Linked DNA regions of Rhinolophus ferrumequinum. The protein of the gene in region 2 purifies or fractionates together with the protein of the main gene of each other region. This does not show direct contact. Links are inferred from orthologs where the notes say so. Each region holds a gene or a part of one and is shown on either strand. Other genes may lie near its edges.

Region 1 (7,584 bases), on a different chromosome or scaffold from region 2:
CTTTCTGAAATGATTAGCTCAGAGTTGGATAGATTCAAGTTGGACCAATTACATCAACCTGCCACTTTGGCTGGACCAATAGGAAAGAGGAGTGGTTTCCCTTCGAGGCTGAGCTGGAAGGGTGGGTCTCCTTTGGCCCTGCTTGGGAAGTGCCTGGCTGAGAATGAAACTGACACAGCAGAAAGCAGAACCCAGAGATGAAGAGGTGCACTCAGAACCACACTATGCCCCTGGCTCTAGCTGCATCCTGGCCATTTCAGTAACTGTGTTTCCCCGAAAATAAGACCTAACCGGTCCATCAGCTCTAAAATGTCTTTTGGAGCAAAATGTAATATAAGACCCGGTCTTAATATAATATAAGACCGGGTCTTATATAAGATCGGGTCTCATATTAATTTTTGCTCCAAAAGACTCATTAGAGCTGATAGTCTCGCTAGGTCTTATTTTTAGGGAAACACGGTATGTGAGCTAAATCATTCCTTTTTGTTCTGAAGTCCTTGAAACTGGGCTTTTGTCTTATGCAACTCAATTTGTTCTATTACAGATTTCTTCTCTGTCCGGACAGAGCCAGGGCCCCTTGGTGATAGAATCTCCTCCATCTATCTTCTGACAAAATCCTGAGGGCTAAGGGGCAAAATTCCCAGCCAGGTAACCATTGCACTGAGCCTCAGTGGCCTCCCATGAGGCAGTAGGTGGGAAACTGCCCTGCCTCTTCCTCACCCCCTCACCTGAGTCCCACTCTTGAAACATAGGTTCAAGACCCCACCTCCTGCCCCATCTACCACACTTATTCAATCTCTGGTATTCAGCACTTACATGTGGTGGGCTAGGAGGGAGTGCTGAGCCCTAGCTGTGAGCACCCTGGACATCATTGCCCTGGGCAGGGCAGATAGGCTGGCATCCATTTACATGAGGGACAGGGAACCTCAGAGGAGAGGTACCAGAAGGAGCCAGGACCACAAGCTTTGGACATTGTTGGGGAGGGAGCAGGAATCCTGAGCTCAAAGCAGAGGCTGTTTCAGATCTGCCCCCAGGCCCTAACCTGAGAGCCAAAGCCGGGACAATAACTGGGGAGGGGCCCTCCAGCATCATTCAGACCTGGCAAGAGAAACGATACCTGGTGATGGTCCTACTCTGGGTCTGAGCACAGGGGACACGCCTTTTGAGTCCCCCCCTCAGCTGCCTGTAACCTTTTGATAGAAAACATATTAATAGTTGTGTATTTACCTAAAACAGTAGTCTATGGGGGTGGGAGGAGATTTGGGGGATTTTAATTTTCATTGTATTTAACAATATTCTATCTATAAAGTAGACACATTTCCTTTGTATTAAAAAGGCAAATGTTTTTCTTAAAAAGCCAAAAAAAAAGGTGAGACACTCTGTAGGTGACAAGTGAGACCACGAGTTGTAGTCCCCTGGGGTCCCCTGGGGGAGTGGCCCAGGTGGCAGAAGAGTGTAGGAACCTGTCCTGGAAACATTTCCTCTTTCTCTTTCACGTCTTCTTAGCCCCCTTACTTGAGGGTGCTGACCCGATGGATATGGTCCTGCCCAAGGGGTGGAAGTGGGGGCGGGACTGGGCCGAATTTTCCCCTCAGACCTGCCAGGGGGTACTGGAAACCTGGAGGAGTGGGGGATGCGCCATCACACTCACAGGACTGGACAAATGGGAGAAGTCAAACAGGTCGGCTGGAGCCCTTGGCTCCCGTCGTCCCCTTGGGAATTCCATCCTACATGTCCTTCCACAGAAGCCCCTCCTTGGGAAGCCCCGCGCAAACCCACCCGGAGTCCGCCTTTCTTTGGGCCTGGAAACGCTTACCTGACCTGAGACTGACGGACACATGGGTACCGACTCAAGAAAATACGCCTCTACCACCAGGGGCCAGCGCCCCACTAACACAGTCTAACAGTTCCCAGGCAGCCCCTACTCCAGCCAGCCAGGTGGGCGGCAACGGCCTGAAAGCTTTGGGCTCCCAGTATCCAGGCAGGCGTGCCCCCTGCTCAGCTGCGCCGCTTCCGAGCTCTCGAGAGAAGCTCCCCAGCGTCCCACTAGACCACCTTCATGCTGGTGTTTCGCAGGCGCTACTGGCTGGGGCGGGCAAGGGTTCTCCGCTCACAGATCCGTTCAGAACCAGCCCCGCCCTCACACCCCCAGAGCCCTGCGGCCTCTCGAAAGCCCCTAGCTGGGACCTGGAACTTGCGGGGGCCAAGGTCAGTACCCTCTCTCCTGCCTCCCACGGAAACAGCCCAATAGGCCGCCGCACCCACCTGGCCCGGGCAGCCGCTGGTGACAATCGCGCCGCACCAACGCTCCTGAGCCAGGATCCACCTCAGCTCCCGCACCGGGAAGGCCCCTCCCCCCCTCAACTAACCTGGCTGCCGGGGCCCGGCCCCGATCCTACTCCCGCCGGGCTCCACTGGACTCGTGCTGCTTCCGGGTGTGCGCGGAGCGCAGAGGCGGCGCCCCAGTCCGAGCCGCCCCGTCCGCCCCGGCGTCCCGCCCCTCCGACTCCCCGCCTCTCCTTCTAGCCCACTCCTCCACCGCGAGTCCCCAGCCTCTGGGCAAAGCTCACCTGGTCCACTGAGCAGGTAAGACACCCGAGGTTAGACGGTAGGAAAAACTGCCCGCGGAAAGGGGATTGCGGTTCTTACGTGGCCGTTAGAGCTCCAGGATGAGAGCAGCCCCGCTTCCTCCGGCGGAAAACGGATGAATTAACAAGGGGGCGTCCCCTGGGGACCAGAATTTTCTGGTGCCTTCTAGGGTTCGAGCTCGAGGAACTCTGCTACTCCCTGACACTCAGAACGGGGTGCTGGTGGATCCCAGGTTCAAGCCTGTCCGAAGGTATCTGAAGCTCCAGGATACACGTGCAAATTCCAGCAAGGACCATTAGCTTGCAAAATACGGGAATATAGAAAACCGGCAGGTGGTGTTAAATGTTGTGTACAACATTTAAGCTGCTTCAAGCAGCTTTAAATTGGCAACCTCAAAGAGGACGCACACTTTCCAACGACGCCCGCCAGGGAAAGCCCGCACTTCGGGTTGGATCTGCAGAATCCCACGGGAATTCTGGGCTGCTCCGAGGTCAGGATCGGAACTTGAACCCAGAGCCCCTCCGGCCTAAGCTTTTCTCCCACCGGCCTTTCATTGGAAGCTCTCAGAACCTCTCCCTAGCGAAGTGGCGGAAGGGAAGGAGCCTCCCTTTTTAGGGCGGATTCAACGGTGCCCCACCCGAGTCCCCGCCTTCTGATTGGCTTATGATCTCTGCCAATTAAAAATCTCTAATGCTGCTGCCCGATTAACCCTGTCGTCACTCTCTTGTGATTGGCGGGGTTAGGACGGATTTCTCAACTTGGGACCTGCGGAGTCAACTGGCGTTTGTTGAAATTCAGATTGCCTACTCTTTCCGGAGAACCTGATTGAGTCCTGTAGTTGGGTCCGCGGAATGTGTATTGTGAACAAGTGTCCGGGTGATTATTTGGCCCCGCGCTGTCTGAGAAGCCCAATGATTTCAGTGGCCCTTCTGGTGAGGCTTGGACCCAGTCCTTTCTTAGTACTCAGGGTCTAAGCTGGGAGAGAAGCAGTTCTGTGACCCCTGGACGATTAGTCTGGCAGCTCTGTGCGTGTATAGGGAAGCAGGGGGAGGCGAGGCGTCTTCTCTGAGCTGGGGGGTGGGGAGGACTGGGTTGTCCAGAGTCAAGGCTTGTGCAAGCGCCCTCCAACTTCCCCATGAAAGACTTTAGTAACTGGGCGGGAAGATCCTATAGCATCGTCCAAAAGCCGGGTATTCGGCAGTATCAACTTTGCGCATAGGGCATGGTTGCGTTCCTTCTAATACTGCATAAAATGGGCATTTTTATTTTCAACAAGTGATAACGTAGTTTAAAGGAGAATCAGAAATCCTTCGGCATCCAAGGCCGATTTCATGGGTCTGAGGCCTCTGCAGTCGCACAGGGCCCTATGCTTGATTTAATAACTTGTTTAAATGCTGTTGTCACTGACTTGAAATTCTTAATGGTTTGAACAAAGAGCACCACATTTTCATTTTGCGCTGCAAATTATGTAGCGGCTTCTGGGCCACGAGTATACATAAGTTCCTACATAAGTTCCGGTGTTCCCTTCAACACTCTGGCCTTCCTGAGCTCAGGGACGTCCCTCTCTCTCCAGGCCGGAGTTGCTGGAAGTAGCGCAGCCCCCACCCAGCCCCGGGCAATGGCCGAGTCTGGACAGCAACTGCCTGAGGAGGTACTGGCGCTCATCTTTCGCCACCTGTCCCTGCGGGACCGTGGGGCAGCCGCCAGGGTCTGCAGAGCCTGGGCTGCTGCTGCCACCTGCAGTGCCGTGTGGCATGACACGAACATCAGGTAAGCTGGCCTTTCCCCTCCTTCCTCCTGCCACCCTATCCTCTTCTCCTTCTCTCCGTAGAGTCAGGGGTTGGGGAGATTCAGTGATTCTCCCCATATTAAAAAGCATAATCATTACTAACCTTTCTTAGCCACCTACTACCGTGTTTCCCGAAAATAAGACCGGGTCTTATATTAATTTTTGCTCCAAAAGACGCATTAGGGCTTATGTTCAGGGGATGTCCTCCTGAAAAATCATGCTAGGGCTTGTTTTCCGGTGAGGTCTTATTTTCGGGGGAAACACGGTATGTACCAACCATTGTTCTAAGTGCCTTACATATATTAATAGGTAGTATTATTATCTCCATTGCACAGATAGGAAATTGAGGCAGAGATTTAATCACGTCCTGTAGATCATTCAGCTAAGGAGTGACGGGCGGAATATGAACTTGGTCATGCCCCACCTCCTTAGAGACAGCTGAGAAAGCCCAGTTCCTAAAATATCATTGGCTCTCCCTGCCAGGGTTTCAGCTTGTGGCAGACGCCATCAGAAGTCTTCGTGATTTGCTAGGATGGGTGTTCCCTCCTAGCATTAGTGGCTACTTTGGGGCAACCAGGCATGGTAGGGATAGAGAGGTGTGTGGGTAGGGAAGAGGGGATGGTATCTGGCCACCAGGCAGACGAATGGGTAGAGACTTCTCTTCGGCTCGCGGGGACATGGCTGATGCCTTTTCTCCACCGCTGTAACCCCAAGCTGTGACTGTGAGCGAGAAGGCATACTGATACCATATCTGTCCGCCTGCCTGAAACATGTTCACAACCTACGCCTGGAATTTGAGCCGTCGAAGAAGCCGAGCCGCAGGGCGGCCACGGAGCTGCTGACCGCATTGGTGGGACGTTCCCCGGGGCTTCGAAGCCTTTGCCTGGAGTGCCGTGGAGAGAAACCACTCTTCGATGCGGGCCGCGACGTCCTGGACGCTGTGCACGCCATCTGCCGGGCCGCCCGCCAGCTGCATCACCTTGACCTCCGGCGCTTGCCCTTCACTCTAGACGACGAGCTAGTGCTGCAGGTGGCACGCGGCTGCCCCGAGCTCCGCAGCCTTTTCCTGAACAACAGTACGCTGGTGGGCAGCGTGGGTCCGGGGTCCGTGCTTGAGCTACTAGAGGCCTGCCCGTGCCTGCGCGCCCTCGGCCTGCCCCTAGCCAGCCTATCGTACACAGCCCTGGAGGCGCTGACGGCGCCGCACCGCGCGCCTTTCGCTCTCCTGGCCCTGCGATGCGCGTGCCCCGAGGACGCACGAGCACCCCCTCTCCCTGATGACGCCTGGGCCGCGTTGCGCCGCCGCCACCCTGGACTGTCCGTGGAGCTAGAACTGGAACCGGCACTGCCTGCTGAGAGCGTTAGGCGCATCCTGCAGCCTGCAGTACCGGTGGCTGCGTTGCGCCTCTGCCTCTCTGCCGACACCGTAGGTCCGTTAGAATTCGCAGCGCAACACTACGCTGCAACTTTGCGCGTGCTCGAGGTGCGCGCCGCCGCCTCTGCGGAGCTGGACGCCGCCCTGGAGTTGCTGGCGGCGCGCTGCGCGGGCCTGCGCGAAGTGCACTGCTTCTGCGTGGTACGACCCTCGGTTCTGCAGGCCTTTCGTGCTCACTGCCCGCACCTGCGCAGCTACACTCTTAAACTAACGCGGGAGCCACATCCTTGGAGGCCCATGCTTGTGGCGTGATAAGGCGAATCCGTCCCCCCACCCCCTGCCCCAGCTGATGTGTGGCCTCTAAGATGCTGGGTGGGTTTGCCTGGGCACACGCCAACTGCTAAGCCCTTCCTTCAGGACTCCGTTGCTTCTTGGGGATGGGGTGGGTGGTCCATGAGTCCACTCGGTGCTCTCGACATCTGCCGACACCCACTGTCCCTGTACTGGGACCACCCTCCTCCAGCCTCCGTCTTCTGCAAACGCTGCGCTAGCTTTGCAGCCCGGGTGTGGTGTGGGAGGGGATGACACAGGCGCAGGCCGGACATCAGGAGTGAGTGAAATAAACCCTGCATCCTGTGAAAGCCTGGGTCGGCTCTGGAGAGGGAGGGAGGGGAGCCTGCAGAGGCCCGAGGAGCCGTCTGGACAGGGATGAGAAACATCGAGACCTCAAGTTCCAGTGTACTGATGCTGCTGCGGGAGTCAGGGCCGACAGCACCCCGCATTCTTGGAATTCCGCCCACGGTTTGGCGGAAAGGTGTCCACTTCTCACCCCCTCCCTTCCCTATCCCTCTTGGCCCGCTCTACTCTGGGCTTCACTTTGCCCACAGCCATCGCCTTCTATCTAGGACTTTGCCAGCCCATACCAGCTATTTTTCCCCTCCCTCCCCCCAAAACGGGAAACAGCAGGCATGACAAGGGTGGAACTCGAACCCAGGTCTCCCTTCCCACCGCACCCCTTCACACACAGCCGATCCCAGCCTGCCCTTACGGTCTGCTGGTGCTGAGGCCCGGGTCTGAGCCCCGCCTGGCGGGTTCGCACGTGGCCCCCACCTGACCCAGCTCCCGGAGGCGGAGTAGGGCGGGGCGGGAGGCAAACACAGCACTTTCTGCGGCTTTGACAAGCCCGCGGCGCCCGGGCTTAGAGCTTTGCCAGGCTGAAACTACACCATGCTGGAAGCGCCAGCCGCGCTGCCCACGGAGCCGGGCCCCAGCCCTGTGCCTGCCTTCCTCGGCAAGCTGTGGACGCTGGTGGGTGACTCCAGCACCGACCACCTGATCCGCTGGAGCCCGGTGAGGGCTGGGGCCCTTTGACTCCCCCAGTGGTACCCGGGATCCCTCAACGTCAGTGAACATCCATACCCACCCAACCGTGGCTTGGGATGCGGCTGTGGGTCCCTCAATTCAGCTGCCCAGGGTAGTTTATCTTGGAGGGCGTGTGCGAGATGGAGGTGAGGCGACTTCCTCCTTGCCGAGGAAAGGGTGGGAGCTTTCTGGAGACCTAGAGCCAGAGGAATCTTTGTGGTAATTTACTTCCCATCCCATGTCATCAGAGAGATCGGAAAACAGACCAAACGAGAAGGCCTGGGTCTGGTTCTAGCTCAGTCACATCGCAGGGCTGGGACCCAGATCTGGCCTCTGCTCCTCCTTCCCGGGAACCGAGTAAGGAGTCTGGGTCGTGTTGGGGTAGGGATTTCCTGTGGCCGCCCGCCCCAGGGTAGGCCTCAGAGCTGGTTCTAGCCTGGCCTCCTCCCGTGTCCCCATGAGTGACAGT
Region 2 (7,571 bases):
AAAAACACAAAAGAGAATGAAGAGACAACCCAAAGATTGGGAGAAAATATTTTCAAAAGACACATCTGATAAAATCCGAAACAAACAAAGAATTTTAAAAACACAACAGTTAGAAAACAACACCCCTTTTATAAAGTGGGTAAAACATCTGAACAGACACCTCATGAAAAAAATATACAGATGGCAAAAAAGGCATATAAAAAGTGCTCAACAACACGTTATTAGGGAACTGAAAATTAAAACAATGCTGAAACATCACCATACATCTTCTAGATGCAATAAAATTCAAAACACGGACAAAACCATATGCTGGTGAGAATGTGGAGTGACAGAAACTCTCACACATTGCTGGTGGGAGTGCAAAATGGTACTCCACTTTGACAGTTTGGTAAATTAAACATACTTTTACCATATAATCCAGAAATTATGCTCCCAGTAAACCAAGACTCTTAACCCAAAAGAGTTGAAATTTTATGTCTACACACAAAAATCCTGCACATGAACGTTTATAGCAGCTTTATTCATAATTGCCAAAACTTGGAAGCAACCAAGATGTCTTTCAGTAGGTGAATGGATGAATAAACTGTGGTACAACCATACCATAGAATATTATTTAGCACTAAAAAGAAATGAACTATCAAGCTGTGAAAAGATATGGAGGAGCCTGAAACACATATTACTAAGTGAAAGAAGCCAGTCTGAAAAGGCTACGTGTTATATGACTCCAACTATATGACATCTAGAAAAGGCAAAACTACAGAGACAGTAAAAAGATTAGTGGTTGCCAGAGGTTGGAGAGGTAGGGTAAGTAGGTGGAACACAAGAGATTTTTAGGGCAGTGAAACCGTATTCTGTATGACACTGTAATGGTGGACACATGACATGAGCACAGGACAACTGTACAATGCAAACAGTAAATTCTAATGTAAACTATTGACTTTAACTAATAATAATAATGTGTTAATATTGGTTCATCAATTGCAACAAATGTACCAGACTAATGCAAGATGTTAATAATAGAGGAAAGTTCAAGGAGAGAGGATATGGGAACTCTACTTTCTGCTCAACTTTTCTGTGAATCTAAAACTAGTCTAAAAAATAAAGTCTGTTACTTAAAAAAACCAACTCTCACACATATAATATCACCTGATTAATGGATAAAGATGACACTGCATTGAAATGAAAAAAAAAAGATGATCTTTATGATAAATAGTAACATATAAAAATAAAATGAACTGGGGGTGGCCCGCTGTCTCAGTTGGTTAAAGCACGAACTCTGAACAACAGGGTTGCCGGTTCAATTTCCACATGGGCCAGTGGCCTGCACCCTCCACAACCAGATTGAAGACAATGAGCAGAAAGCTGAGCTTCTGGAGGGGCAGCCAGATGGCTTAGCTGGTTAGAGTGTAAGCTCTTAACAACAAGGTGGCGGGTTCAATTCCTGCATGGGATGGTGTGCTGCGCCTCCTGCAACTAGAGATTGAAAACAGCTACTGGACTTGGAGCTGAGCTGCTCCCTCCACAACTAGATTGAAGGACAAAACGACTTGGAGCTGATGGGGCCTGGAGAAACACTGTTCCCCAATATCCCCCAATTAAATTTAAAAAAGAAATAAAAATAAAATGAACCTTGGGCCGGCCAGGTGGCTCAGGTGGTTGGAGCTCCATGCTCCTAACTCCAAAGGCTGCCAGTTCGATTCCCACATGGGTCAGTGGGCTCTCAACCACAAGGTTGCCAGTTCAATTCCTCGAGTCGCGCAAGGGATAGTGGGCTCCGTCCCCTGCAACTAAGATTGAACACGGTACCTTGAGCTGAGCTGCCTCCCAGATGGCTCAGTTGGTTGGAGCGCGGGCTCTCAACCACAAGGTTTCCAGTTCAATTCCTCCACTCCCGCAAGGGATGGTGGACAGCGCCCCCTGCAACTAAAATTGAACATGGCACCTTGAGCTGAGCTGCCGCTGAGCTCCCTGCTGGCTCAGTTAGTTGGAGCGCGTCCTCTCAACCACAAGGTGCCTGTTCGACTCCAGCAAGGGATGGTGGGCTGCGCCCCCTGCAACTAGTAATGGCAACTGGACCTGGAGCTGAGCTGCACCCTTCACAACTAAGATTGAAAGGACAACAACTTGACTTGGAAAAAAGGCCTGTAAGTACACACTGTTCCCCAATAAAGTCCTGTTTAAATAAATAAATAAATAAATAAATAAATAAATAAATAAAATAAACCTTTATCTCCTACGTACAGAAAATTCAAATCCAGATGGATCATAAACCTAAATATAAAAAGGAAAGAAACAAAACTTTTATAAGAAAACCTAAGAGAACATTTTCATGATGTTAAAGTAAACAAAGATTCTTAAATAGGAAACAAAAAGAGTTAACCATAAGGGAAAGAACGATCAGCTGGGCTGTATTAGAATTAAGAGCTTCTGTTCAGAAGATGATACCATTAAGAGAGTAAAAAGGCAGGCCAGAGAACAGAAGAAGAAATGTTAACGACATTGCCAATCACAGAATGGCGTCTCCTCTGCATTCCAGCTCCTTCAATATCATGAATCCACACCTCCAAAGTGAAAAGCCTTCAAATGATTTTCTGAGGGAAAATTTGCCTCTTGTTTTGAAGTGAATATTAACTGAAAGACTCAGGCTGAAAACCTAAACTGATAAGGTTGCCACTTTAGCCGCCTCAATCAGCCACGTCCCCACCCAATCTGATGAAACACTCACTCAGCACACAAGCTGCTACACACCAGAGCTCCATTAAGCAGGATCTTCATGCAAGCCAGCATGGTCAACCCATAAGGTAAGGTTCCCCATGATTTTCTTGCCCTGCATTTCCTATTATATTGTTCTGGATATTTTTCTTTATCTTGTTAATTATTTAGAGTAGAAAAGAGAGAATCAGTTACCATGACTAAGGAAGTAGGGTGTTTGGAGCTCAAAAGTCGAGGCTGTTATTCATTAATACATTGTGCTAGTGGAAATTCTGCGAAATCCAGCCATCCCTGGCAAAAGGCAGAGCTGAGGGGAAAGAATGGAGCCAAGAGGAAGGATCTCCAGCCTGAAAGTTTCAACGTCCCAAATGTGCTCTTGGTTTATTGCAAGAGAAACTGAAATTTATATATATTAAGTTAAAAGAAAAGTATTACCTGGATATCCAAGTGGCCACCAGCCTAGACAATTCCAGAAACAAGCTGATTCCTTCTTAAAATTCTAAATAAATTTATCAAAAGGTAAATACAGATGCTTCTTTCTGGAATGTGTTCTTGCCAAGAAACGCCTCCAAAAATATAATGAAAGTCAAATGAAGGGCATTTTGCTAGCGCTCCTGTGAGTGCAACTTCTGGAATTTCCACAGGCGGAACAGATTCAGCAAGTCAGTGTGAGAGGGTGGGGCTCTAAGCAGAAAATGAAATACAAGGTTTTCTGTATCGTGCTCGCATGACAGGCCATTTTACGGCATGGAGAGAGCACAGGTCAGAGCATAAGTTACCCAGACTTGAATCTGGGCAGTTCAATTTAGCTCTCCGTCCAATTTCTACATTCCAAAAGAAGGAAGTTAGAAAATCTAGAAAACTTCTAAGATCACTTTCAGTTCAGTATTTAAGGAGTGCATGATGGTGTGCTCTTTTTTTCATTTAGGACATCTATTTTTCCAGGATTCTAGTTAGGACATTCATTCATTCTAGTTGGGACTTTATTGAGTTACAAGAGGATCCAAGGCAGACGATAAGGGTTCACCACCTTGAGTAATGGATGAAAGGTGCTATCCTTTCTCATGGTACAGAAGAGACTGCCCACAGTTGATGGGGAGAAGTCCCTCCAACTGACGGGATGTGAGCAGCTTTGAACCTGTGAGCTTGGTCATGGGAAACGGAGAAGTGGCGATCTAACCTCTCTCCCACAGAGAAGCCTGTGTGACTTTGACATCACCCAGTTCCGGAAGTTGCCCCTGCCCTGTATTTGACAAACTGCTGGAGGTGTCACCCCCTACCTGACCCCACAGATAAACAGCTGATTGTGCTGCTGCTAAATACTACAAATGGGCATTTCTCTAAACATGGACCTTTCTGGTACCTCAGCGACCCCAACCTTATTATTCTAGATCCAATGTGCTGCCACAGTTGGACTCTGACAATGCAAGAGCAAACGCCTTCCTAGGTGTCAACTTGTTCCTGTCAGACCAGGGCAGTTGGAACATCTCAACAGGGGGAATGGGATCCACCATCAGGGCGATTTTGACCTCAGTAGCGAAGGCCGTCTCCTCCCCTACACTTGCCCCCACTTTACACAGACTTTTCAGTTCCACTCAAGGACCCTGCCCACTGGGAGTGACTTCTGGCTGATAGAGTCCCATGGTAGCAATGACTCTTACACTCTAAGCATTATGTGGGCCCCTTTGGATTGTTATTTCTTTTGTAAACACAGGCCTTCACCTGCCTTCCTCCTAGCAATGTAATGCATATATATGGGGCATTCATGTAATCCATATATAGGGGGCATTAGTAAGAGACTTCCAAATATTCAAAACAGTCCCACCCATTGAGCATATTGCACTACACTGAGTAAGATGGGAACTCCAAGACCAGGGGGACCCCGGTTATTCAGGAGAATTACTAGGGGCATTACCAACTCCAGGTAATTATTTCCACTGTTGGGTTCCCTCAGTTAGAAAGACAACCTGTCTTTGACTCTTGCTGAGGTCATTCATGGCACTACTTTAGCTTTGAAGGCACAACAGATCAGCCTCAGTTCCTTGGCCCAAGTAGTGTTGAATACCTGCAATAGCCCTCAACTTCCAGCGGCCAGCCAAGGTGGGGTCTGTGCAATTGCTGACACATTGTGTTGTACCTGGATCAATGAGGCTGGCAAAACAAAACAATCCATCACCAGGCTTAGATAGAAAGCCTCCTGGATCTCTGAAGTAGACCCAGATGGACTATCAGACTTCTTTTCCTGACCTGGCAATCTTTGGGGCTCATGGTTATGTTCAACCCTCCAGGCAGGTCTAATCATCCTACTTGGAGTGATATTAATTATGATCTCAGACTAATTACCTGGTTCTTGACACAGTCCCTCAGAGTCCCATTATGGTCCGTGATCAGGTAGCCTATGTATTTCCCTTGGACTCTGAAAATTGAAAGGATGAAGTTGAGAGTCTGGCTCCAGGCCAAAATCCTATGTGTGATCTTTCAGGCCCACACATCGGCAATTACAAAAGCTTTACCTGGTCAACCTCACAGGTAAGCTGCCCTCCCCACATCAGATATACATGTGAAAGTAACTTGTTAAGTTGTCTGACTTATTAAATTGGGGCGGTTCCCCAGAACAGTGTGGAACAATAGCATTACTAACAGACAACTTTATCATGTTTTTGAGTTTAATGAGAATGCTTACAAAGTCTCCCTAATGAGTATGAATTTTAATTTAGGTTTCTGGTAGATGTTTTTATCTACCTTCTTTCCATTTTAGCACTTTCCTTCCATCTTAGCTCCCTAGCATTTTTTTAAAATAAGGAAGGGGTGTTAAATTATAAAAACATTTTTCCCCCAGAATCTTTTGAGATGATTATAGGATTTCTTACACAGTCTAAGTTTCTTAAAAATAAATTGCCTGCATTGTGCTTGTGGATTCAGGACTATGTGCACCTCACCAAATTAGTTGGTGACATGTCTTTTTCTATGTTCCATAACTGCTTCAGTAACAGAAATTTTCTTGTGTATAAATTGACTGTTTATCTATTTTTGTCACTTATAAAATGGATATGGGGTACTGGCCTTTTAATGTATAAGAATTCTTTTTTTTAAAAAATTTATTGGGGTGACAATTGTTAGTAAAATTACATAGATTTCAGGTGTACAATTCTGTATTACATCATCTATAAATCTCATTGTGTGTTTACCACCCGGAGTCAGTTCTCCTTCCATCACCATATATTTGATCCCCCTTACCCTCATCTCCCACCCCCATCCCCCTTACCCTCTGGTAACCAGTAAATTATTGTCTGTGTTTATGAGTTCTTGTTTCTCATTTGTTTGTCTTGTTCTTTTGTTGTTTTTGGTTTATATACCACTTATCAGTGAAATCATATGGTTCTCTGCTTTTTCTCTCTGACTTATTTCGCTTAGCATTATATTCTCAAGATCCATCCATGTTGTCACAAATGTTTCTATATCATCTTTTCTTACCGCCAAATAATATTCCTTTGTGTATATATACCACAACTTCTTTCCAATCATCTATCAAAGGACATTTTGGTTGTTTCCATGTCTTGGCCACCGTAAACAAAGCTGCAATGAACATTGGAGCACACGTGTCTTTGTGTGTAGATGTTTTCAGATTTTTTGGGTAGAAGAATTCTTGATATAGAGTTCTTCAGCTTTTATTTTTCTTTTAGCACATATATTTTTCCAACTCTGTTGTTTTCTTTTGCTTTATTTGTGAGAGAGAGAGAGAGAGTGGGTGTGTTTTTAAATTATTGGATATTCAAGCATATCTATTTTATTTCTAGTATTGATCTCTATTTGGTCAATAGTGAGGTATACCAAAATACTTCATCTTCATATCATTTTTTTCTATATTCCTTTGTCAATTTCTCTAACTCCTTTTAAGCTTGGATAGGTCTTTCGCACACAGAGATAAGAAATTCAATCAATTTGTTTGTTTTATTTGTTTATTTTTTAAATTTAAATGTTTGACCCAATGAACTCAGGGCCCTGACTGCATTGTGCTTGTGGATTCAAGGCTATGTACACCTCACCAAATTAGCTGGGAAAAAACGTATTTTTCTGTTCCATAACTGCATAAGGGCTTTTTTTTTTTTGAAAAAACAAGGCAATTTTTTTTTCAAGTTACAAAAATATGTATAGGTCAAAAATACAGTCTAGTCCATGTAAGAGTAGTTCCAGCCTTTTAAAATCTATACAGAGTTTGTAAAAAGCAATTCATATACAAGTCTTAAAAAACGTTTCATGAATAGTATACAACCATTCAATTCAGTTATTGCTTGTTATATGCAGCTTTTACTGGAGACTGTTCTCCGTAAGGGAAAGGGCAGTGTTTGGGTACTCTGATTGTTATTTCTTAAGTTGTGGTTTTAAAAATCAATCAAAAATCAGAATAAGCTCACTTTGAATAAATGAGGACGTATTAAGTTTTGATTAGTGCTACGAGTAGGAGTGGTCTGAATTTCAGTTCCTCCACCTTCTCCTATTTAATTCTATTTTGTTAATATATCAGAAATATTAGTGTGTAGTTTGGGGCAAGAGTAAATGAATTACTGGTTTTCAAATGAAGTGATAAGAAACATTAACTTTGAGTTCCAATGTAAAAACAAAGCTGGCATATCCAGTTTAAAAACTTTAAAAGAATAAATTCAAGAATGGTCGAACATTTAAAGTTTAACTAAAAACCAAAGCTGCATTTCTTTCTCTTTAGACATTGAGATATAAAATGAATCAATTTGTTCTTTTGAAGTTTATGGGTATATGAAGCTCTGATGCTCTCTATTTTCTCATTACAAAGTCAAAGAGTTAGCCACATAACAGGAACACATTTTAAAACAAATCTATTT
Region 3 (7,547 bases), on a different chromosome or scaffold from region 2:
TGCAGGTGCCTGCGCTGCGCAGCGACGACGGCCGCTGGCGCCCTGAGGACCTGGGCCGGCTGCTGGGCGAGGTGCAGGCCTTGCGGGAAGTACAGGAGAGCACCGAGGCGCGGCTGCGGGAGCTCAGGCAGTGCGGGAGTGGGGGGGTGGGGAGGGGGGAAGAGCGGGAGGGGGGGTGAGGAGGGGGGGAAGAGCAGGAGGAGGGCAGGGAGGGGGCAGGGGGGTCTGAGAGAGAAGACACTGGCTGCCAGGCGGTTTGGGCAGCTCCTTCCTCTCACGCTTTGGTGCCTCCATCCAAACAAATGGGCCGAGCTGTAGAACTCTGTTCTCGATGGATGATTATCCGGGTGGTCGCAGGTTGGGGCCTGCCATTGTGTGGGGAGTGGTGACTGGGCGAACTCTCAGATGCCTCCGCACCCTCCCACGCCTCCCCCCAGGCAGAACGACATCTTATGGAGGGAGGTGGTGTCCCTGCGGCAGAGCCACGGTCAGCAGCATCGTGTCATTGGCAAGGTATTTCTCTTCCCCCACCCCACTTTTCTCTCCTCCCCCTGAATATCCCCCTCCCCCAGTCCTCTAACCTACCTGGAAGTACCTTGTTAGGGTGGGGGCAAGGTCCAAAGGATGAATTAACCCTTTACTTCCTCTTCAGCTGATCCAGTGCCTCTTTGGGCCACTTCAGGGAGGGTCCAGCAGTGCAGGAGCTAAGAGAAAGCTGTGAGTGAGAAAGCCAGGGACACTCACCCTCCGCACCTCCTCTTTCAGCGCTCTTCCTGCTGGAGGGACTCCTCCAGAAACCTCTTCATCAAGAATCCTCATTCTCACCCCCTCCACCAGTCTTTCTCACCCCATAGCCGTCTCCCCAAGAACCTCCTTCCAGGACTTTTCCTCTCTCCTCCAATTTCACCACCAAAACCCCCAAATCCCCCACTCAGATCCCTCAGTTCTAGGACCTTATCCTCAAATTTCCACCCCAGCAGCCTCTTCCCCCTCACCCAAAAGCATCCTAACATCAGAGGGTCTGGGGCTCAAGTCAGGCTTCCTCCCTCCTCTCTCTAACCCCAAAGGGCCTCCATCTCTGGGGGGAGCCCCTTCTGTGTCCAGCATGTGACTGATGCCCTGGCAACAGGCCTCAGCTCTGCTGACTTGGCTGCTGGGGCCTGTGGGAGGGAGGTGGTACAGGCTAAGGGGCATGGGAGATGAACCTTCCCAGAGCCCTGCCTGTGCTCCCCTACCCTGCACAGGTCCCTGATGCTGGATGAGGGGAGCTCATGTCCAACACCGGCCAAATTCGGTGCCTGCCCCCTGCCTGGTGCCCTCCTGCAGGACCCCTACTTTATCCAGTTGGTAGGTTTTGCTTCTCCTCCCTTCCCTAGGGTACCCTTGAGCTTATGAAGAGCCTATTCGTTTCCATTTCCCCCACAAGAAGAGAAGATGGAGGCCAGCCTCTCCCCCCTCACACCAGACCAGACTCCCCAGCATGGACTTCAAACCTTCCCCTTTAGACCTGGTCCATGTGGGTACTGGTTGGGTTCTGGTTCACCCTGTGGCTTCGGGTGAAGGGCTGGGCCTAGTGTTCTCTTTACAGCCCCACCCAGAGACCACATTGGGACTCAGCAGCCCTTACAGGGCCAGAGGTCCCACCATCTCTGACATCCCAGAAGACTCTCCATCCCCTGAAGGGACCAGGCTTTCTCCCTCCAGTGGTGGAAAGAGGTAAGAAGGACAGACAAGGGCAGCCTTCTGGGGGCCTGTGGGGAAGGGGCTGGCAGCACAGATAGCTGTGGGGGGTAGGGGAGAAGTCAGTGCCAGGGTCTGGTTGAAGCTTTTCTCTGGTGCAGGGAGAAGGGCCTGGCACTACTCAAAGAAGAGCCGGCCAGCCCAGCAGGGGAAGGTGAGGCTGGGCTGGCCCTGGCCCCAAATGGGTGTGACTTCTGCGTGACAGCCCCCCCAGCGCTGCCTGTGGCTGTAGTGCAGGCCATCCTGGAAGGGAAAGAGAGCTTCAGCCCTGAGGGACCCAGGAATGCCCAACAGCCTGAACCAAGGGGTCCCAGGGAGGTATCTGGCAGGTGAGCAGAGAGCCCATTCTTGACTGAGCCCTGTGGGCCACTTTTGCAATTAGACCAGCACTAAGTAGGCCCCTGAAACTCCCCAGCCTTGTCGACCCTTTGGTGGCTGGGGGGCTGTCGGGCACTATGATCTGACCTGATTTCTCAGAGTTGCTCTAAGGAGTACCAGCATCAGAGGTCCTGGAAAGTGGAAACATCCTGTGGTAGGGCTCAGGAATCGGCATTTTAAATGAGATCATTGGGGTGGTTATAAAGATTGTAATGTACACATCAGTTTAGGAAGCACTGGTATTGACAATTGCATAGGGAGGGGACATATCCCAAGTCCCCAGCTCTACAACCCAAACCTCAGGCCAAAGTTAGGAAGCAAAGGCACTCTTATGTGCCCTCTGTGTGTGTGCGTGCATGCGCACATGCACGGTGGGTCCTCTCCTAGCATTCTCTATATATTGTCAGATTTAGATCCTGATGTCTCCAGGTTCCTTGGGAACCTAATTGGGCGGGGGGTACTGTAGGCTAAGAGCAGTTCTCTGTACACAGGGGGCCTCTGGGCCTGGAAAGGGGGGGCCAGAGCCCAGAGAGTCTGCTGTCTCCAATGCTACTTCGGGCCCCTCCTGAAAGTGTGGAGCCTGCAGGGCCCCTGGATGTGAGTACACCCTCAGCAAGCAGGGGCATGGTACTTGATGGGGTCCGGCTGTTTGTGCAGCCTGGGGAAGCCACCACTGACCCAGAGCTTCCCCCAGGTGCTGGGCCCCAGCCTCCAAGGGAAGGAATGGACCCTGATGGACTTGGACATGGAGCTGTCTCTGGTAACATGAGGGTGGAGAGGGAGGAGGTTAGGCGGTTATGGGTTGCTGAGCCAAGCCCTTTGGTCCATGGTTGTTCTCTCTCAGCTAGAGCCCCAGCTCTCCTCCCCAACTGCTTCCTGGGGTTCTTCTATGCAGATGCAACCCTTGGTTCCAGAGAAGGGTGAGACTGAGCTGGCGGTCAAGGGGTTAAATTCTCCAGACCCAGGTAATGGTTGTGGTGACTCGGGACCTGGGGGAGGTCCTGAATGGCCTGAGCTATGGTGATTGGATAGACCGGGCTGTTTGTGTTTTGAGTGACGTCAGTTCAGGCTGCCTGCAGAGAGCTACTAAAGCCACCCATCCCCTTACCACTGGATGAGTGTGGGGAGGTTGAGAATGGATGTTTCATCCTAACTTACTATATGGCAAGGCAGGTGAGGCTCTCCTTCCCTGAAGACAGGAGGGGGTGACCAAGAAGGGGGAACTGTTTCTCCCTGCTGAGTATAATAGCCTCACTCCTCGTAGGGAAGGACTCCACTATAGAGGCACCACTCCTGCTGGACGTCCACGCGGCTTTGGGAAGCCCAGCTCTCGGCCTGCCTGGAGCTTTAACCATTTACAGCCCCCCTGAGAGCCGGGCCTCCTATCTGGTCCCGGGCGCTGATCCCTTTCCCTGAGCAGCTCTCCACTTTGAAGCCAGCCTGACTGAGGGGCTGGCCTGCAGCCGCAGATCCTTCTCGGCTTCCCGGCGCCCCCTGGCGGAGGCTGAGCCAAGACCGTACAATTCGGTGGCCCCTTCCCATTACCAAGTCGTGCACATAAACCGCATTTTTCCCCTGTGTTTTTAGTTTCTTTTCTCTACCGACCAGGGAGCACAAACGTCATGGGTGTATGGAGGCTACTTTGCATTCGTAGAAGCCTCCAGATCCTAGGGTTTTAATGGAGAAACCCCTGGAGAGTGGAGTGCTTGGGGAGCCGGCTTCTAGTTCTGCTTAGGCCCGGATCCTCCCGCCTGGATCTAGGGCTGGTGCGTAGCCACTGCAATCTCCGGGAAGTGGAGGCTCTGGGCTTCACACCCAGCTCCGCAATGCATCCGCTCCGTGATCCTGGATAAGCTGGTCCCCTTCTCTGAGCCTTATCTGTAACAGATGAAGAGGGGTCGACAAGAAGTTAGGGGTAAAGAACCTGGGAATTGCCAGGTCCGGAGTGGGTGCCGGGTACGTGGAGCCGGGGCCGTGGGTCGCGTTGCCCCCTCGCTGACTCATTCAGTGTGCCCCGGGTGGGGGGAGAAAGAGAACCACGTGTAAGAGCCCAGGCGAAACACGGCCTCGGGCGACCTGCCTTCTACAGCTGGGAGAACAGCCCGCTCTCCCCACGCCCCTCCCGGTTCCCAGCAGCCCTGGCCGCCCCGCCCCCGCCACAGCTGCTGCTCCCACTCCTACACCCCACCCCGCCCAGCCCTTTCTGCCTCGTCATCTCCTGACCCGCCGAGGCCCGACCCGTGCGTGAGTCGGGCCGCCCGGAGCTCACCGGACCTGGAGCTCTATCCCATACGGTTGGGGGAGGGAAAAGAAACCGAGATTGGGCAGAATCTGCGTCCTTAACCAGCCGCGCTACTAGGTCTGTGAGCCCCGCCCCTCCGTGGGACTAATTCTGGGACCCAGTGGAGGGGAGAACAGGGGAGCTTGTGGTCGCACCTGTGCAAAGGCTCTCGCAGTTTCCCACAACCCTCGCTCCCTAGCAAAAGAGAACGGGCAGCCAGGTGGCGAGGGGGGCCGAGACCCTCCCCTCCACGCCTCGAACTTGGAGCTGCCTGGTGCCCCGAGAAGAATCTGGCCTGTGACCCTTGAAGGACTGGCGGCGATATAACTTGGTACAGTATTTACTTCTGAATAGTGAGTCTCAGAGGGAGGGCCCAGACCATCTGGGGTTTCTGTGTCCAAGATAGGACAAAGGACAGGACTTGGCGTGATGGGAAGAGGAGGCTAACATAAAACTAATTTGGGGAAGAGTGAGGGAGGATGAGGGACCAATCCGCTAGGCCCCCTCCTTCTCTGCACCGGTATAAGACCAGGTTCTATCCCCTCACCCTTCTTGCACCCCTGGTTGGGGGTCAGCTTTGGAAGCCTCAGCTTCTCAAAGAGGGCAGAGGTCGGCGGGTACACAGTGCAGTACGGTCAGCGCAGTGATGAGGGAATCTGCTGTTCACTGGTGTAATAGGAGATGAGATAAAATCGGTCTGCCTATGACACACTCAGGTATTGGGGTGGACAAGTGGACATTTGAGTCTAGGAGGATGGGTCCACAGCATGGAGGAAGGGGAATGGTATGCTAGGCTTAGGGAACAGCATCTGCAAAGATTCAGAAGTACCGGGGGCTTGGGGAGTTCTTCCAGCCCTGAGTGGTGGAGGGAAGTTGGGGAAAGCCTAGCTGTCCAGGGGTGTGGGAGAGCAGCCAGGCAGCATAGTCTGAATTCTCTCTGATGGACAGTGGGGAGCAGGTAGTAAGGGCTGAAATTCTGCTTGGCTGGAGATCTCATTGTAGTTCAGACTGGAGCAAGTCAGATTACAGGTCTGCCATTTGGTCTCTCTGAGCTTGTCTTCTCATCTGTAAAATGGGGAAAGTAAATCCTGCCCCAGAGAATCGTCAAAATCACTGTGCTGTCGGGGTAATGAGATGAGAGTGAGAGGTACTCAGAGAGACTGTCATAGGAGATGAGATGATCATGAGGGTTTGTGGGGGAATGATGATAGAGACTCAGTGAGAAGTGGAAGAGCAGCATTTGTCACAGATGGAACATGAATGGAGAGGGAGGGGCAGGAGGTACTCCTGGTCTCTGAGCAGTGGCCTAGGGGAAGGGCTGACACTTCAATATGACCAGGGAGGCATAACATGATACCAGGTCGTAGTGAGGGAGACTTGGGAGGCAGGATGGGGGCTAGGACCAAATCCATTCTCCCAGATCTAGAGCCAAGAAAGGAGGTAGAGGAGGGACCCTAAAGGGAGGATGAGACCGGGAGGATGCTATGTGGAAATGGGCTGAGAGAAGGAATGGTACAGGGGCAGACCTCTTTGCCCCTTAATGCCAGGAGCCTGGCTGTCTGGGTCAGGCCACCCAAGAGGAGATGGGCCATTGTCCTTAGTGGACAGAGCAGGTTAATTTCTGCCTAACACCTCCTGTTTGGTAGAGACAGTCTTTCAAAATGGGAGAATCCATGGAGGAAAACAGTAAAAGTTCGGCAAGTATTTGTTGGTAGCTTTTACGAGTTGGGCCCTGGGTACAAGATGAAGCAAGAGATGGCTGTGAGTCATTCCCAGGGCAGCAGGGAGACAGTTGAGTCTCAGGTGATGTCAGAAGATCTTGATCAGAGCTAGGACTCAAAAGAATTTAGGTATCCTGCTCAGGTGTTAAGGAACCAGGAAGGGCCATGCGACCATATTGGGGTTGCAACATGGTGGTAGCGTTAGTGGGGGGGGGGGGGTAGGGAGTGCAGGGGCACAGCCTGTCCTGGAAAGACGGACCTCAGGGTCAGGATAAAAGATCTGGACTTCTTACAGTGGGTGAGAGCAGCAGGGGAGGCTCCCAGCACTTTGTGCTCTGGGTGCAGAGGAGATTCAGGGCTCTCCAGGGTCTAGGCTGGAGATGAAAGCCTAGACTATGAAAGAGATGAGGATGACAGAAATTATTCAGCAGATAGAACGGAAAGGACTTGACTGTTATCTGGGTGTGGGTCTTTGCCTGTTAAAGTGGAGAAGCAGGTTTGGGAAAGAGAAGTTGGTTTGGATAAATTGGGTCTGAACAGATCGCGATGTCTGCAGGCAGCTGGGGCTCAGGAGGGAAGTCCTGGTTGGTGTGAGCGGTCATAGATACATAAGGGTCCTGGGAGAGTGGAGGAGAGGAGAGGAGGGCCAGCTGATGTTTAGGGACCCAAGGAGAAGCCTGATGAGGAGACCGGAGGCTGTAGAGGCAGGAATACGAGGAGTACGGTGCTGCGGAGCTGTCCCGCTGCTGGGGTCGAGGTGAATTTAAGACTCCAGCCACCAGTGTTCATTCAGGCCCTGGGAGCGAGGTCAAGAGCGGGGGAGCTTCGGCCCCCACTACCTCTCTCCCCCTTCCCCAGGCAGCCCTGACTATGGGCAACGCTCAGGAGAGGCCTTCGGAGACGATCGACCGCGAACGGAAACGCCTGGTAGAGACGCTGCAGGCGGACTCCGGACTGCTGTTGGATGCGCTGCTGGCGCGGGGCGTCCTCACCGGGCCCGAGTACGAGGCGTTGGACGCGCTGCCTGATGCCGAGCGCAGGGTGCGCCGCCTGCTGCTGGTCGTGCAGAGCAAGGGCGAGGCCGCCTGCCAGGAGCTACTGCGTTGCGCCCAGCGGACCGCGCGCGCGCCCGACCCCACCTGGGACTGGCAGCATGTGGGCACTGGTGAGCGCGCGCGGGGCGGGACCTGGGGCGGGACCTAGGTCAGAGTAGGGGGCATGGCCGGGGCGGGGTCCTCGTCTTCCGCAGAGATGGGCGTGTGCAGGGGAAACTGCAAACGGGTAATTGAACTTGAGACGGTCTCACCTCCGTCCCAGGCTACCGGGAACGAAGCTACGATCCTCCATGCCCAGGCCACTGGACGCCCGAGGCAGCCAGCTCAGGGAACCCATGCCCTGGGCTGCCCAGAGCTTCACACTGCGATGAG
Region 4 (7,916 bases), on a different chromosome or scaffold from region 2:
GCGTCTCGCTTGTCTTCTTTGTTTCTCACTCCATGAGCATCATAGCGAGATGGGAGTTGCCTTATTTCATGAGGCATCAGTCCATATACAGGAGAGCCCTGGAGGTGACAAGGCACCAGGAGCCTGTGTTCCTTCTGGCCCCAGTTCCACACCAGTGGTCTTGGGCAAGTCACCTAACCTGTCTGGTATTTTGTTTCTCTTCTGAAAAATGAGATGACTAGACCAGATGCTCTCTAAGCTCCCTTCCAACTCTTACCAAATCTAAATGTCGATAAGTCTTAGTTTGATGAGCTGGTGAAAATCTTAAATCTATCTCTCCAGTTTCCAAAACTATGTTCTGAAGTTTCATGAGGCCATTGCTCAACATTTCCATCCTCTCCCTGTTCTAGGTCTCATACAAAGAATTTTCCTTTATTGCTAAAAGTAGCTCACGATTGCCTCTGTGCATGAAGCTGGAATACCCTTCGAATAATGGCTGGAGTCTTTCCCCAAGCTTTCTAGTGACTGCAAAAGAACCATCCTACGTGGATGACTGATTTTGCACTTATTTTAAAAAAAGCTTTTAAACATATCCTATAAAATATGTTTTAAAACTCTTGGCTCTTGAGTAACATCTTTGAGAGTTTAAAGAGGAGGAAACCTTTCCTATAAACATCGCTCTCTTCCTCCACTGCCCCTTTTCCTGAGGACTTACAGCCACCACCCTGTGTATGGGAACCAGGAGGCCGGAGGAAGGGGACTAGCCTGGGGCCAGCTGCTCAGGGGCAAAGGTCCAGGGATGTACTTGTGTGCATCTCTTCCCAAAGGCCAGTGGGAATTATTTTGAATGGTGTGCAGTACCCAGATACACTGATTTTGCACAGTAAAATTCATTCACAGGTTAGGGCAGCTCAAGGAACCCAAATGACCAGAGATTCCGAATTCGCCAGGATTGCTCCGTTAGCATGCATGTGCCCGGGAATGGATGCTTTTCCTCATGGGAGCCGCCTGCAATTCAAGGCCTTCCACCCACATGGTTCAGCACGGAGGGCTATCTTTGGAAGCTCAATGGCCATGCATAAAAGGACTCACCTATTTGCTTCTCCAGAGATGATGCTATATGCCTTTGGCTGGTGGACTGGCAAAAAAGAAAAAGACACATAATCAACATGAAGTTCTTTAAGCGAGAGGCAGAATTATCAACTAAACCCAGCCCTGGAAAGGGACTCTAACTACCGCAGAAGCTCTCCTGACTCTGACTTTGGCCGAGCCGCTGTGCCTCCCCATGCCTCAGCTTTGTGATTCGGAATAGTTCCGATATTTTTAAGCATTAAGAAACAAAAATATGAAGATGGGCCATTTGAACAGATTCACTTCTACACAAGACTCAAAGTTCTTTTTCTTTCTCGGATCACCAAGTACGCGGCTCAGCAGGCTGACTTGTCACAGGACACAAGAAGATCTGTCCCTGCCATTCCTATTACAGCCTTGATCCTTTCTTTCCCCAACAGAAAATATTCCTTTTCCTCATGGGAACCACCTGCAATTCTCTGTCGAATAAAATGTCTAGAACGACCCATTTCTGAGACAGGAAGCAAGGATTGGAAAGCCCTGTGCAAGACTGCGGTCCCCGTGGACCCCTGCACGGTGACAGAGCTGTGTGACCCCCCCGTGCCTCCAGGGCACAGCAATCCACACGCCAGCTTACCTCTCTGAGCTCAGCCAGCTCCTTCTGTAGGTGGAAGAGCTGAAACATCCCCAAGCCCAATCCAACCAGGGCCACCAGCACCATGAAAAACATCACAAGGAGACACAGGCCTGCGCTGTGGTCCCTTTGCTTCTTCAGAGGTGGCAGTGGCAGTGGCGGCAGCGGTGGCAATGGCGGCGGTGGTGGTGGCGGCGGCAGTGGTGGTGGCCTCCTTTGACCAGGCCTTGCAGGCACCGAGGACGGACACGGGAGGACTGAGCCTGGAGGGGCCCAGGGAGAGCTGGCACTGCTGTCCACCCAGTAGATTTGGGGGTACGGGTAGTTCAAGGGCTGCTGCATGGCAGCCAGTGACTCGGGACGCCCCAGGCAAAGGTTTTCCTTCTCGATCCCGGGGAGTCCCAGGGATCAAGGAGGGGACCTCTGCTTCTGACTGACCAAGGGAGGGGAAGCCAGCTCCTTCTTTATAGAGTTTCCATAGCCCAGGGAAACACCTCTCTTTCGTTTTTTCTTTCTGCTTCTCAGAGAGAGACACCCACTCACTTTGCATCTGAAGGTGAGAAGCCTCAAGAAGCTCTCAGCACAAAGCCCAGGAAGTTGCCACCCACAATTTTCTGATGAAAGCCTTCAGAGCCCCAATGATTGCTCCTGCTACCTGAAAGGCTGGTGGGATAGGCTGGTCTCTCCAGCCCTGTGAGAGCAGGTGGAACGGGGTGCAGCCCTCTGTGGTTTTGGCCACTGCCCAGCTATGGCGACCGTGGCCATGGGACGCGTTCAGACACTGAGGGGCAAGACCATGGAGTTGTGGCCACAAGCGTCGTTTTCACATTTTACCTTTTGCATGAGGGAGGGAGTCATCGGCCTGCTGCCATCCCTTCCCCGCACCCTGACTTTGCAAAGCACTGTAACTTGCAGGTTAAACACCTTCCCCACCCACTCTGCAAAGATTAGATCAGAGGTTGCAAAGCAGTGGCCCCTGTGCCTTGGGGAACCCACAGACCTGCTCTGTGCCTCACAATGTTTTTGCTTTTCATTAGTCGTCTTCTTTTAAAATTGGGATATTTCACATTAAAAATATATACTTCTCTTCTGTTTGGAAACATTAGAATATTGGACACCCTTGAGGCCATGTCTGCGAACCTGATCAGCTGGAGCAGGGCAGCAGCTGCCCCCAAGGATGAGACATCGGTGCTCCAGGCTGCCCCACCTGTACCACCTTCCACCCGCCACACAGCACCTCCCATGGGTGCCTTCCTGGTCCCATAGGCATTTCTGTTTGCAGCCACTGTTATGGTTATCAGGGGAAATGCATGGGGCCCAGCTCAATTTTCATTTCAGATAAACAAAAAATAATTTTTAGGATAAGTATGGCCTAAATATTACATGGAATATACTTAAAAAAAAGTATTCATTGTTTATCTGAAGTTTAAATGTAACTGATTGTCCTATTTCTTTGTCTTTTATTAAAGATGGCAACTCTATCTGGACTGACCCCACCTTTCCCTCCGGCCTCAGGTACCACTGATATGCCAGTAACTTCCAAGAGCTCAGCTCCAGTCATAATCATTCTTCCATATAAACCTCCCATAAATCCCTATGTTGCCATTTTATTGGAGGGCTATACTTTTCCAATTTCATTAGCTTCTGTATCATGCTTTGGCATCTCTGTGACTAGCATTCTGGCTCTTCACCTGTACCAAACCAACACCAAACATGTTTCCCTGCCATGTTCTGCCCACCCCACCCCTCCCTCACGCCCTGTACAACCTGTTTCACCTGAGGTCACTCTTTCTGGTGACAACTCCCACTCCTCGCTCTTCTCTCCCCCAACATTTAACTAGTCACCCAGGACTGTGGATTTCATCTGAGACATGTTCCTCCCATCGCACCTTCTCCGCTTCCATTTTTCCTGCTGCGATTGCCTAGGTCAGACTTTCATTATCTCTCACCTGAAATATTGCAATGGTACCCTAACTGGTCTCTCTACCACCAGCTTTTCCCAAGCACAAGTCACCCTGCAAAATGCTGCAAGAATGATGTTTTTTTTAAAAAATCTAATTATCTCACTTGCTTACCGAAACCTTCTGTTGGAAGGTTTGACAACAGGAGTTATCCAGATTCTTCTTTAGCATAAGACGGGCTTCCTTATAGTCTGACTCCGACAACTAGTACTCTAACAAATGGCACTGCCCCCTCTCCAGACCCTCTGCCCACATCCTACTCTCCCCTCACACAAGTGTGAGATGCATGAGACCAGAGTGACTGTACAACGTTCTCACTGTATTTTAGAGTTGGGCAGAGTTAATGTGCTTTTGGACTCACTTATGGCTTTATTCACAGTTATGAAAAATGGTAAGTTTAAAGTTAATATGTAATAACCTGGAAATTTAATTGTAAAAATTCCACCATACATGCAACAAGAAAAATAGCAAAAAAAAAAAAAAAAAAAAAAAAACACACCAAAAACCAAAACTAAAAACCAACCTTAAAGTATCCTGAAATAACTCTATCACAAATTACGCAGAACAATGTTTTTTAAACTATAAAGATTTTACCCAAAATGGCAAAGATTCTAATAAATCCCACCATTCTGGATAGGGAGGACAGAAAGAGAGTGTGGCATGATGATTATGGGTGTGTGGTTCTGGACGTAAACTGCCTGGGTTCAAATCCCAGCTCTTCCAACTTCACTGTGTGACCTGGACAGGTCACTTTCCATCCTCTGTGCCACAGTTTTCTAATCTAGAAAAATGTGCACGATCACAATGGTACCCATTGCAGAGTGCACGGTGAGGATTAAATGAGTCAAAGCATTTGATACACTGGAGACAGTCACTAGCACCAAAGTAAGCACTGAACAGAAGCCGTTATTGTCAGTGCAGTGAATCTCCCCACATACACGTCAACTATTGACATAATGTAAGTGACCTTCCTCCATTAAGGATAAAAGAAGAGGAAAGAGGTTGCAGAGAAAAGTATAAGTCAATGCCTGACATCCAGTGTCCTCAGATTCTACCAGTGAACTGATGGACAGACGGACCCCTGTGTTTCAGGCTAAGACCCCCCTCCCCACCCCCTGCTTTTTATCTCACTCTCCTACAGAAACTTCCAGCATTCTTCAGTAAAAATTATGCTGTGTTTTCACATCTCTCCCTGCCCTGATTCTTCTCTTGATTCATTCTGTGATACGAGAAATCAGAATCCTTGTAAGTGCCCGAACCACCCAAAGCCCGCCGATCTCAGGGCGACTCTGAACTGAAATAGTGACAAAGGAGCAGCCTTTCCACATTGGCATCGCTCTTTGGTAATGCCACCAAACATCACAGGATGGCAAAATCATGGGAACATAAACACCCCTGCAAACAATAACAGGCACCCATCATCGTTTGGGGTACTATCAGAACCTTGTTAATTAGCAGAAATAATCTGTGCAAAGTGGATCTCAGCTCTGTGATTGCTGAAGAAGAATATATATTTGCCTGAAAGAGAGGCTTTGAGTTAATGAATCAAAGAGCCGGCAGGCTGGCAGCCCTCCACGTGGGGAACCCAGACCGAAGGGCCTCTCTCAGTCTCACCCTACCTGCCTACTTTGCACCTGTCCCTCTGATTCTGGAACCAGGGTCCTTGAGAATGGACAGGGGAGAGAGATTCCGAGCTGGAGATTTCTTTCAGGGGAAGGGGTAAGATTGCCAGTCACAGAGATTTAATGGCTGTGGGTGAGACTTGGGAGCAAATTTAAGTGTCGGACCGAATCAGAGAACTCGCCTTGTACAAACGTGTTCAAAACTTTTAAGCATCTTACCTCATTAGCTGAAAGTTCAAATGATGTTTAATTATGGTCCCTCTAGAATTGGAATTACCTTCAGAAATGGTCCTGCATGGCAGTAGCATAGAGTGGTGCATGGTGAAAACAGCAGCTGATCGTCTCCCGAGGTGAGCAAAGGCTCCTAGCGGGAGCTTGTTTATTCACAAACACAGACGCTACCCTGTACATTTCACAAAGTACTTCCAGGCGGCTCATCCGAGTGTCTGAGTCTGCTGACACCAACACCAACAGCATAACTGTCTTGTCCCATGTCTGCCTCTCTGTTTGGTGGTATTATCCACCTTTCTAATTTTTTCCAAGCTTTGTGGTTATAAAGCTGTATCTTGCCTATTAATTTTCCTTTTTTTTTTTTTTTTGGTTTCCTGTGAGGTTGAACATCTTGTCATATACTCGTCAGACAGTCAGGTTTTCCCTTTTGTATTTCCTGTTCATACATCACACCCATTTTTTAATTGGATTTATCTCTTCTGCACTGAGTCACAGGATCTCCTTGCACTTCATATTCTAGCTATTAATCTGTGGCTACTTTTCGACATTGAAAATACCTTCTGCCACACTGTCATAAATTTCATATTTAGGCTTCAATCTATCTGGAGTTCACCTTTATTTGTGATGTAAAATAAAAATCCATGTTTGTTTTTCTCCATGTCTGAGCCAGTTTTCCCGACACCATCCATCTTCTCCCCCAGGGAATAACAGTGGTATGTTTACCACATACCAAGCTTCTACATATAGTTGAGTCTTTTTCTGGGCTCTTATTTCTGTTTCATTGATTTCTCTATTCCAGGACCAGGGTCACACAGTTTTCATAATTACAGCCTTGTAGACTGTCTTGAGAGCTAGTTATGGCAAAATTCCCCCTTATTGCTCTTGTTTTTCAAAATTGACTTAGCTGCCTGAGTATATTTAACCTCCCATTAATGTATTAGGAAAAACAAACTACCATGTTCCCAAAATGACCTGCGGCACTGTTTAATTGTACTAACTTGGGGAAAGTGTTATCTTTACAACGTTTCCACCCTATCCACCGTTTTTCATGTCTTCTATATGACCTTTACAATTTTCTCCGGGATGGTCTCACACATTCTTTCTTAGATTAATTGCTTTGTAATGTTGTGATTATACATGGTGTCTTATTTTCTGTGGCATTTTGTTTTTATTCTGTGGTAGGCAGCCTCTAAGATGACCCCCTTGTTTCTCCTACCTCCTGATATTTGTGCCCTTCTAGGATACCCTCCCCTTAAGTCTGGGCTGGACCTATTGATCCACTTCTAACTGACAGAATATAGCAGAAGTGATGGGACAGCACTTCTGAGACTAAGTTATAAAAAGACTGCGGCTTCTGGATTGCAGATGGCTGGCTTCTCATTGTAGCCTCACATTGGGGGAAGAGAGAGAGGCAGCAAGCTCTCTTGGGACTCTTAAAAGGACACTAACCCTATTCATGAGGACTTCACCTTCATAACTTCATCTAATCCTAAATATTTTCCAAAAGCCCCACCTCCTAATACCATCGAATTGGGATGCAGAGTTTTGAGTATGATTTTTGGAGGGACACAAACATTTAGTTCACAATACCCAGTTAAGTCTAGCTTGGACTCACAAACCTTGTAAGATAATAAATACACGTTATTTTAAGCCATTACATTTGGGGGTTATTTGTTAGGCAGCAATAGATAACTAATACAGATGGCTGTTACTGGTTTAAATAAATGCTCCTTATTTCGTAATAAATAATCTTGAATCTTGCAAACTTGTGGAAGTCTCTTTTTACTTCTGATTAGTGTGTCTGTGGATTTCTGATTTTTTTTTAATGTACATATATATTATGGGGGGGGGAAATGACAATATTTAATCCTCCCTTCCAATGCTTATACCTCATTCTTTCTCTTTTCTTTTTGTATTGTCTCAAACCTTGAGAACTATATGAAACAATAACTGTGATCATGAGCATCTAAAGTTTTTCACAACAAGTGTGATGTTTTCCTCAAGTTTTCGTTTTTTTGACGTATCACTTCTGTCAATAAGCTTCCTGTTCTAGCATCAGGATTTCATCAGCAAACAGATGGAACACTCACATGAGGGCAGGTTGAAACAGGCTTAATAAAAGGGACTGTTTACAAACATATAGGTACGTTGTAGGGAAATCATAAGGCATAGTATGATGCTCTAGAGCTAGAAGAAACAAGCTTCTTGTGACCACTAGGCAAAGGAAGAGACAAGTTACAGGAACCGACAAAGGGGAGAGCATAGTGTGAAGGCACCTAAATGTGAACTGCGACTTCCAGTCAATAACTGCCACCAGTCCACGGTGCCTATTTGTTCACTGGGTAAAAGTCGCAACAAATACATGCTGACCGAATTCATGAAGGCAGGAGGGTCCCAGGTCAGGAACGGGACTCCTTG

The links.
Region 1: the proteins of CASP8 (region 2) and TRADD purify together in Homo sapiens (affinity purification with western blotting; 6 studies listed by BioGRID and IntAct, with this or other methods). This does not show direct contact. The link is inferred for Rhinolophus ferrumequinum from reciprocal best matches to the Homo sapiens genes CASP8 and TRADD.
Region 3: the proteins of CASP8 (region 2) and NOL3 purify together in Homo sapiens (affinity purification with western blotting; 3 studies listed by BioGRID and IntAct, with this or other methods). This does not show direct contact. The link is inferred for Rhinolophus ferrumequinum from reciprocal best matches to the Homo sapiens genes CASP8 and NOL3.
Region 4: the proteins of CASP8 (region 2) and FASLG purify together in Homo sapiens (co-immunoprecipitation; 8 studies listed by BioGRID and IntAct, with this or other methods). This does not show direct contact. The link is inferred for Rhinolophus ferrumequinum from reciprocal best matches to the Homo sapiens genes CASP8 and FASLG.

Annotation. Positions count from the first base shown.
Region 1 is NC_046298.1:16,895,320-16,902,903, forward strand, and holds the start of TRADD (tumor necrosis factor receptor type 1-associated DEATH domain protein), read right to left. Parts: upstream 3,153-7,584; 5' UTR 2,650-3,152; exon of another isoform or gene 2,469-2,649; intron 2,447-2,468; exon of another isoform or gene 2,266-2,446; intron 1-2,265. Other genes in the region: FBXL8 (F-box/LRR-repeat protein 8), read left to right, coding at 3,441-3,521, 4,163-4,359, 5,093-6,065; HSF4 (heat shock factor protein 4), read left to right, coding at 7,573-7,584. UniProt on the Homo sapiens protein: Adapter molecule for TNFRSF1A/TNFR1 that specifically associates with the cytoplasmic domain of activated TNFRSF1A/TNFR1 mediating its interaction with FADD.
Region 2 is NC_046291.1:30,096,040-30,103,610, forward strand, and holds the start of CASP8 (caspase-8), read right to left. Parts: upstream 3,243-7,571; 5' UTR 3,148-3,242; intron 2,802-3,147; exon of another isoform or gene 2,717-2,801; intron 1-2,716. UniProt on the Homo sapiens protein: Thiol protease that plays a key role in programmed cell death by acting as a molecular switch for apoptosis, necroptosis and pyroptosis, and is required to prevent tissue damage during embryonic development and adulthood.
Region 3 is NC_046298.1:16,903,450-16,910,996, forward strand, and holds the start of NOL3 (nucleolar protein 3), read left to right. Parts: upstream 1-4,327; 5' UTR 4,328-4,730; intron 4,731-6,978; 5' UTR 6,979-6,990; coding exon 6,991-7,285; intron 7,286-7,437; coding exon 7,438-7,547. Other genes in the region: HSF4 (heat shock factor protein 4), read left to right, coding at 6-130, 438-513, 653-717, 1,245-1,347, 1,589-1,716, 1,842-2,069, 2,610-2,715, 2,813-2,878 and 2 more.
Region 4 is NC_046305.1:8,088,757-8,096,672, reverse strand, and holds the start of FASLG (tumor necrosis factor ligand superfamily member 6), read right to left. Parts: upstream 3,401-7,916; 5' UTR 2,027-3,400; coding exon 1,688-2,026; intron 1,118-1,687; coding exon 1,072-1,117; intron 1-1,071. UniProt on the Homo sapiens protein: Cytokine that binds to TNFRSF6/FAS, a receptor that transduces the apoptotic signal into cells. Involved in cytotoxic T-cell-mediated apoptosis, natural killer cell-mediated apoptosis and in T-cell development.